2 linked regions of the Coturnix japonica genome follow. The protein of the gene in region 2 purifies or fractionates together with the protein of the main gene of each other region. This does not show direct contact. Links are inferred from orthologs where the notes say so. Each region holds a gene or a part of one and is shown on either strand. Other genes may lie near its edges.

Region 1 (4,889 bases), on a different chromosome or scaffold from region 2:
TATCCAAGAAACAAGCAGGATAGAAAATAATTCACCGCTGGAACAACACCAAGGCCTATTTTATTATTACATTATAAGCAAGTGAGAACAATCATAAAATAAAAGTTAAAGCAGCTGAGGAACAAAAAAAACAACCCAAAAGCACAAAAAAACCCACAACTTTTAAAATAGCAAAAGGCAATGATGGAATTCACACTGGGCTACTGCTGAAATACATTCACGCTCTTCTGAAGTATTGACCTTATGTGTCTGACTGATGCATTCATTATGTAAACATCTACCCTGAGAGTACATTTAAAGTGCTCAGACTTAGCAAATGAGTTCAGAGACCACACCTGAATGAGACTGAAAGCCTTCGTCTGGAGACAGAACAGCCAGCACTTGGAAAATATGAGCTTAAACTTCATGGTAAGCCTGAAGCTCCGGTGTTGTCTCTCTAGCCCAGAGGACCTGTGCCCATGACTCGTGCTGTGCTGGCAGTGGTTACCAGAAGAGCTCCCTGAGCCAATGAAGGACTGACTGAAGCGGCACTGAAGTCATAGGGACTCCCACACAGCACATTCCCTCGTCACCAAATTAAACACGTGTTCCATCTTGCTACATTCCACACTTAGGCACAGTGAGAAGTTTCATCAGTTTTAGATTATCTCAAGAAAAACAGTATGAATTAAAAGCCATTGTAAGGGCTGTGCTCAAGTGCATTTTTTATTTCACAGTGCATCCCAAGCTCCAAGCTTCTGTCATGATCCAGCACACTCCTCTGTTCAGATGTCTTTATTCTGCACGTCTTGGTATCGGACAAATCATCATCCCATTAAAGCAAATCACCATCTCCCAGTACAGCACACCACAGGCAGCAGCTAACCCAGCTCCGGTGAATTTAAGAGCAATTCTTGCTGAAGGTAACGTTTTAACGAGAGTTATTTCAAACGCTTCTACTTTTTAAGAGCCAGACATAAAACATCTGCTATACAGCATTAAGCACTTCAATATTTTCAGAGAAAAATACACCCTTGCCATAGTTCCTGAGTAACTCTCAGAGGCAGAGAGCCCTCCCTCCACAGAAGCAGCAAGTGCAGCAATTGCCCTGCCTCACCTCCAGGTCAGTGCAACACACATCTCACAGAGGTTTATCATTATTCCAAGCCACGTTAATAAAACCAACTCCTGCCACGACCACATACAGAGCAAGGACACTGCTCCACAGTGAAGTTATTTCATGGCCATAGCATTCCAAATCCACTCTACCAAGCTGAAGCTTCAACACCAGAGAAGTTCCAGCACATTCCCAATCCTGCTGATCTATTTACGTACTTGTGAGATAAGCACATCAAAATACTTCTGAGAGGTAAAAGCCCCTTAAAGTCAGGCGTCTGCTCACAGGGCCGGGGAGCTGGAAGCAGGTTCCTCCTCAGCACACACAGCTGCTCTGCCCCACGTGCACAGAGCACGCTCATCCCTGGGGCTCACAGCTTCATCAACAGGTCTGGAAGGCAGCAACTCAGTGCCACGATAACAAAAGCGCTGCCTCTACAATGAGATGAAACAAATTCATCCTCCAAGTTACAACTTAACATCACCGTGAACTGCATTATGCTTTTACCCTAAGACTATTAAAAGTTCTCTCCTTAATAAATAAGAACCAGAGAATTGCATGAGTTGGAAGGGACTCTCAAAGGCCAACTCTGTGGCAATGAGCAGGGACACCTACACTAGATCAGGTGCTCAGAGCCCGTCCTGCCCGACCTTGGGTGTCCCCAGGCATTGAGCATCCACCACCTCCCTGGGCAACCACCCTTATTGTAAAAACTTTCATCCTTGTACCCAGTCAAAGGCCACTAAATATTTCAAAGGCGTTTGTAAGACCAGCAAGTAAACGTGTAGCAGCCACGAGGAACACTATGAGCTCCTCATGCTCCATATAAAACAGCTGTGAGTTCACTTCTTGAAGCTGCATAGCTTAACTCACTCAAGTCCGAACATCTTCACACCGACACGAGTGCTCAGAATGGAACGAGTCTCACTTTGGCTTTTCTGAAACTATTTGGCAAGACGGAGGTCAGCGTTAGGAGAAGGGGCACTCCGAGATGCACACCTTCCTCACGGAAACAGGACAGAACGAGCAAAACTTCACACACACCTACACGAACTTCCAACTAAAAATAGAGAGCGGCGATGCCAGCAGCCAGCGCTCCCGTTCCCAATGACAGCGTTAATAACTGCAGCCGCTTCGTTAAGGTGGGTGGCCCAATAAAGGAGGCCCCGTGGTGCCCTCCTGCCCTACTCGGCCGCACCACCGACTTTTCGCAGCCGGCCGGGAAGCATCGCAGCGCAGCGCGGCACAGCGCGCAGCAGGAGCCCCGCACGTGCGGAGCCCAGCGCCCGCCCGCCGCCCACGGCCCTAAGACGGAGCCCGGCCGCGCAGGGGGGGCCGAGGGGGGGCCTCGTTCCCCCACCCCCCTCGGCAGCCCCGCCGAGCCTCGGATTCCGCCCGTGAGCGACACCCGACACCAGCTCCTCCAAACCCCGCACAAATCCGGGACCGCGGAAGCGCGGCGCGGGGGAGGGGGGGGTGGGAACGCGCACACGACTTTTGTCTCTCTTTCGCGACCGGACGCGGCCACCGAGAGTCCCCCCGTGCAGCCCGGTCCCCGCGAGGAGGGGACGGGGAGGCCTCTGCGTGCGGCGGAGCCCTCCGCGCCCCGGGCCGGGCAGTTGCGGGCACACACGCCGGCTCCCCGCCCTCCCGCAGCCGCTCCCGGGGAGCCCCGCTCCGCCCGTCCCGTCCCGTCCATGTGCGCGTCTCGCCCCGGCGGAGTTCAGGGGAAGTTTCTCCAAACTCCGCCAACAAAAGGGGCAGCAGCTCCCTCCGCCGTTCCCCCCCCTCCCCGCCCCCCCTTCCCGTTCCCGCAGCACTCACCCCCGGCCGAGCCCGGCTCGCAGCGCAGCACCGAAGCGGCCAGGAGCCGCAGCAGCAGCAGCAGCGGGAGCGGCGGCGCCGCCTCCATGTTGTGCCGCAGCAGCAGCTGCCGGAGCGGAGCCCGCCGAGCGTCTCAGGCAGGTTCCATGCTCGGGGCGCTGCGCTCGGCGGGGAGGGAGGCGGGAAGGGGGAGGCGCCGCTCCCGGCCCTCCTCCTCCTCCTCCTCCTCCTCCTCCGCCCGCTCCCCCCTCGCTCCTGCCTCCCCGAAGGGGGCTGGGATCCTCCCGCTCGCGAGGCGGCCCGGGGAGGAGCCGTGCGTCCGCACAGGCCCGCGCCGTGCACCTGGCGGGGAGCGGCGGATCGGGCTCGGGCCGGGGATCCTCGAGCTCCTGGTCTCTTGCCGAAGCGTTTGGGTTTGTTTTGCTTCTTTCCCGGCTCCCCCCAGAACGCGAGGGGCACGAGAAGGGGCGGACAAAAGTGCTCACTGTGTGTTTACAAAGAAACTACTTGTGCATCTGCGCTGAGTGTGCGCTTACCTGCTCCTTTACGCAGCTGTTTTGTTCCCAGGTGGGGGTTTTCCTTCACCTTCCTCTTCCCAGCAATACGAGCATCTCCTCACAGTGCTCTGTGTTCGCATCACGAACAAAGTCACTTTCCAGCAGCAGTTCAGTTGCTTTTCCCCCCATCAAACACGCAGCCTGTTGATACAAGTACATGAGCGGTGAGAAATGGGCAGAAGCTGCTCTGTGACACATGGCAGGGGCTGAGCTGTGCCACCTGCAACCCAGACATCCCACATCTCCCTCATTCCCAGCTACCACAAACACCTCAACAGCAGGGACGGAGTCAAGAATTTCCCTTGGAGTCTCCATTTTCCCTTGTGCCAACACCAAATTTACCATAGGAAATAGAAATACTACAGTCTATACACAGACAGCATCATCAAGGCATTCCCTCATAAATCACATGCTTAACCAATAGATATTTAAAAGTTGCTTTTCCTTTCAGACAATGGATGTGTCCTAATAGATCTGCCTTGCTGTAGGTTCTGCAGCCATGGTTCAGATTTCTTCTCAGTGCCCAATGGACCACTACCCATCTCCAACAGTGGGACTAAAAGCTCAGGAATTCTTTTGGGACCTGATGGTCACCAGGTGCAGGTTTCCCCCTTTCTTAAGAAGGGTTTAATGTTGGGATAGTGTTGAGGAGTTACAGAAGGTCTATAGCACTGACCTTCACACTAACCCACAAAGGAAAATAAAGCTTCCTGCTCTACCTTCCTGCTTGTTAAACACATAAAGAATGCTTACTTTAAAGATGTCCGATTCCAGGAGGCATTTTAAACCTCAGCGTTCTTTAAGATGGGAAAACCAGCAGCTGGTCTTCCTTGATAGAAGTTCCACAATAAACCAGAGCCCAGATCAGAGCCGCTGTGAAACACTAATGGCAAAACTTTGTACAAAGAGATAAAGATGGTTCTGACTGAGAGATTTCAACAGAGACCAGCATTTTTCAAAGGGAAGTACCTGCTGTAAGGAGAGTTACTGAGACTGAGAAGATCCACCAGTGACTGCTCAGAGCCCCACACCAACCTTTGCTGTGATGAAGGACTATTTGCAGGCACAGCCCACCGAGCTTCACACCATGTGGAAGTTCGTCCTTTGCAGTAGTGCAGAGCTGGAATGAAAATTTATTTCCAAAGTATGTGGTGTTCTTGCTTGGCAGCCCTCTCCCTTCTCTAATTAACAGACTAAAGTGCAGTCTCCAAGCTGAAACAGAGAAAAGGAAGACCAGGCTATGGAGGCAGGCAGCTAGGAAAGATAGACTTATCAGATTTTATATTTATCAGATATTATGTTTATGCATCTTTAAGACTTTAACAGCAACACCTTTGCTAAAAGGACATTGGTCACAATCTGGAGCGATGGCAAATCTAGTAGCTGCCAAGAGCTCAGTATTCCTCCAATCA
Region 2 (3,955 bases):
TTCAATCCAAGCTCAAGCTATGTGTAAAAATGTTCCATATTAATTTAAGACCTGTTTGCTACAGAAAAGTCATTCTGTACTCCCATATACTTTGCTCATTGAGTGCAACAGGTTAATTACAAGTTGATGCCATGTGGCTAAGGCAGTATGTGATTGTTCCTTCTGCTTTTCCACCTTTGTTTCTCAGGGCTGATTTCCTTGGGTGAGGCTGTGGAGCTCTTGCTGAGTCTGGGATGGATGGAGTGAAACTCATTGTAATTATAGAGCCCAATTTCAAGTGGAACCATTGACACCTGGTGGATTTTAGCTGCCTGTGAGGTTATCTTTCACTGAAGATAACAGGTGTGTTTGGGCCTTACAAAAGACCCTTGGGAGTGTGTGTTACTCTGAGTTTGTCCTATGGATGCCATGTGCCCAGGAATGCTTCCTCAGTTCAAGGTTAGCCCATGAAAATGCTGTTTTCAATGTTTTCCTCTGGGTGTGGTATGGATACTTCTGTTTGGGAAGAACTGGGAGTGTATAGATTTGGTATGAAAGGCAAATGGGTTGGAGTGGGACTTTTCCTGATCTGAGAGGCCTTTTCCAACCTTTATGAATCTAATCAGATCTCAATCAAGATTTCTTGATTGAAAGTCGGTGGCATTCTTGTGTTTTTTGATGGGATTATCAGACTGTGAATCAGTGTTATTGGGAGGAGGTGGGGAGCTGAGTCTGCTGAGCTGTTCTTACCCTGGGGAGTAGAAATGAATATGGTGCATTGGGACTCTGAGCTCCGCATCTGCCCAAGATGATGTTTGCATGAGGAGTATCATGCCCAGGGGTGAGAAGCTCCGATATAGAGTAGCCTTAGAGATGTGTCATTTATTAATTGGAAATTAAGGATCTCGGTGCTCTGTATCATAGAAATGCATGCCCCAGGCTGGAGCCGAGCTCCAGTTCTGTATTTCACTGCCTTTACAGCAAACAGCTCCGTACTGCAGCTGAAAATCAATGAGTCTTCCCATAATTAATCATTGTTTCTACTTTATTACCAATGTATTTAAAATTCACAATGACAGACTAACATTTTTTCAAGCAGTATAACTTCTCTACAAGGGAAAACGTTGCATAAATAATTTTTTAGACAAAATAAATACATAATTCACTCTTTGAAACAATAGCTTTTCTCTCTAGATATCTGATCCCACACAAAATAACTGCAGAATCTATAATCAACAAGGCAAATGGCCATCGTTTATATGATCTGTGTTCACCTGATACTAGGCCTAGCACTTCTACAGGATATGTACAGCGTGTGGCTATTTGCTTCCCAGTAATATTCTTTAATGGAAAACACAAACTTTAGTCTGAATGTTGAGAAGTTCAGTACAGTTGCTGTCAAACTGAAGACACTGCACACACCAAAGACTCTTCTAAAGGAATTCATGACTCTCAGTTTAGCAGAGGCCCACTTCTCATGCAGAACCCTCCTCCCAGAACTGGGCTTGCACAGTCTCAGCTCTACAAGGTGTATGGCCACGTAATTCAAAGTCTACAGAATATGTAATGTACATTGAGATATCTAGGTTGATACTAAAGTCAGTTGTGTACTAAGAAATAAGGACTAATCAGTATCTTTTTATGTTAAACCGTGCACACAATTAGCTGTTTATAGGACAAACATCTTGCTTATCTTGCTTGAGAGGAGCATCCATTTAGTAAAACTGCTTCCCTTAGGAGAACTCACTCAACTGGTCCTAAACCAAACCCTTGCTCCTATTTTTTAATAGGATGATTTGGTTGTCAGCTCTCAGTTCTGAACCTGTTGACCCTACAGCATTCTAATTAGAAGTGTGACACAGATTGGTCACGCCTGTGAGAGCACAAATGTCATATTTTGGTTTTCTTTCTTGGAGGAAACCACTGGGGCATGAGGACACCTGGCAGGGGATGTTCACTTCTGGTAGCCTGGCTCCAGCTGAGACCCAGCCCCAACCTCCCCATCCCTAACACCCCCAACCCATTGGGAGTGCAGGGCCTCACCTTGCTTGTCCTGCACCATGGGACTCAGAAAAGGGAAAGGAATGTGGCATTCCTTCTGCATCCAGCAAGCAGAATGACTCCTAACCAGGTGTGATATGTCTGTCACCCTAACCACCTCGCCTCCCTCTCCTTGTACAAACCAGGTGGCCTCATGCTGATCCCCATTGTGTCCCCTCCTTTCAGACTGAATGTAGCTCCCACCAGCTCGCTTTATCTCATTCTCTTATCAGATCATAACCGCTATCATCTGATGGATTTTGACTATGTGAGCCTTAGACCCAGCGTAGCAGAAGGAATTGGAACCGCCTGCAGTCAGACCCTCGTGCTCAGCCTGTGCGTGCCATTGTATATGGTATAAAATATCCAGAGCTGCTGGGCTGCATCACTTGGCACAACCTCCTAATAGGCATTTTCCAGCTCATGCTGGCTCGGTTTGCTGCTCCTGGCTCGGGACAGACGTGACTTCTTGTTCTTCTGTGGCCTGACAGGCTCCTTCCCAAAGTCCTTCAGCTCGGACTGGTTGTGGTATCGAGTGTAGCGCTTGCACTTGCAGGCTGTGACAGCTCGGAATTTGTAAGTCCGAGTCTCACCGTCGGGACACTCCATCTGGATGCGCTGAGTGCGGGTATGAGCTGGGATGCAGCGGTAATCCGGGGAGTTCTGCCTCCACCACTTCCCTCTGCCAATGGAGTTGGGAAGGAGGTGGGATGGGACACACTGCCCCGAGCACACCAGCTCCTTCACAGGCTTCAGGCTGCGGCACGGCCCCTCTGTTATGTAGCGGGTGATGCGCATCTCTCTGCAGCTGAAGTCGGAGACATCTGCAAAGGAGATGGGTGTTAGTGTGTGACTGCTGCCTTCCCATCCACAAGGAGGGGAACTCAGAGCCATCAGCTCTGAGCCCTCAGTGTTGAGAAGGATGTGGAGGTCTTGGAGCAGATCTAGAGGTGGTCATGGGGTTGCTCAGAGGTTGGAGCACCTCTCCTATGGAGTTAGGTTGAGAGTTGAGCTTGTATGGACTGGAGAAGGCTGTGAGGAGACTTCATTGTGGCCTTCTACTACTTAAAGAGGGCTCAAAAAAGATGGAGAGTGACTTTTACATGGTCTGATAGTGTGACAGGACAAGGGGGATTGGTTTTAAACTAAAGAGGGAAGATTTAAATCAGGTGAGAGGAGGAAATTCTTTGCTTAGAGGGTGATGAGACACTGTCACTGCTGCCCAGAGCTGTGGGTGCCCCATCACTGTAGGTGCCCATGGCCATGGATGGGCAGTGGGCTGCCTGAGCTGCTGGGGGGCACCCAGCCCATGGCAAGAACTGGATGAGCTGTAAGGTCTCTTCTAACCCAACCTCACTGCACTTTATTCACCTTGAATGAGGGGTTTGATGTCTCCAAAAACCCTGAGGTTGCTCTAGTTGTGAGACCCTCGAATCACCATGAACAGGTGGATGAATCCACGTCCACCCCCATCACAAGGCAAATCCCACACAGGGCTGTGTTGGTGAGCAGTGAGCTCAGGGAATGCCCAACACCAGGGCTTACTCTATGGGGAGTTCCACTGGCTTCATTTACCATGGGGAAAGCCTTCCCCATTGCTCTGGTTCAACTCTATTGACCTCAGAGGTTCCCTCCAGATTTAAACTCTTCTGCAGAAGGGAAGAGTTTCTTAAATGACCATGAGCTAACATTCCAGGTGGGGGAACACAGTAGTGCTATGGAATTCCCACACTTCAGGCAATAAATACCCTTCACTCCCTCTTTTTCACCCCAAACCCCATTGTATTTCAGTGGGATGGACCCCAATGGACATCAGAGCAGCCAGAGGCTCCAAATGAGGATTTGCAGATGTAACTGAACCAACCTGCCTTGAGTGGGGGATGTGGGGCTGCCCGCAGGAAGCACAGTCCTCCCTTTGGGGGATTTCAGACCCTAC

What was found. The genes of interacting proteins can lie anywhere in the genome.
Region 1: the proteins of SOST (region 2) and LRP5 purify together in Homo sapiens (affinity purification with mass spectrometry; 3 studies listed by BioGRID and IntAct, counting the BioPlex papers as one, with this or other methods). This does not show direct contact. The link is inferred for Coturnix japonica from reciprocal best matches to the Homo sapiens genes SOST and LRP5.

Annotation. Positions count from the first base shown.
Region 1 is NC_029520.1:8,358,989-8,363,877, forward strand, and holds the start of LRP5 (low-density lipoprotein receptor-related protein 5), read right to left. Parts: upstream 3,106-4,889; 5' UTR 3,009-3,105; coding exon 2,921-3,008; intron 1-2,920. UniProt on the Homo sapiens protein: Acts as a coreceptor with members of the frizzled family of seven-transmembrane spanning receptors to transduce signal by Wnt proteins.
Region 2 is NC_029542.1:2,887,520-2,891,474, reverse strand, and holds the end of SOST (sclerostin), read right to left. Parts: intron 2,873-3,955; coding exon 2,422-2,872; 3' UTR 1,004-2,421; downstream 1-1,003. UniProt on the Homo sapiens protein: Negative regulator of bone growth that acts through inhibition of Wnt signaling and bone formation.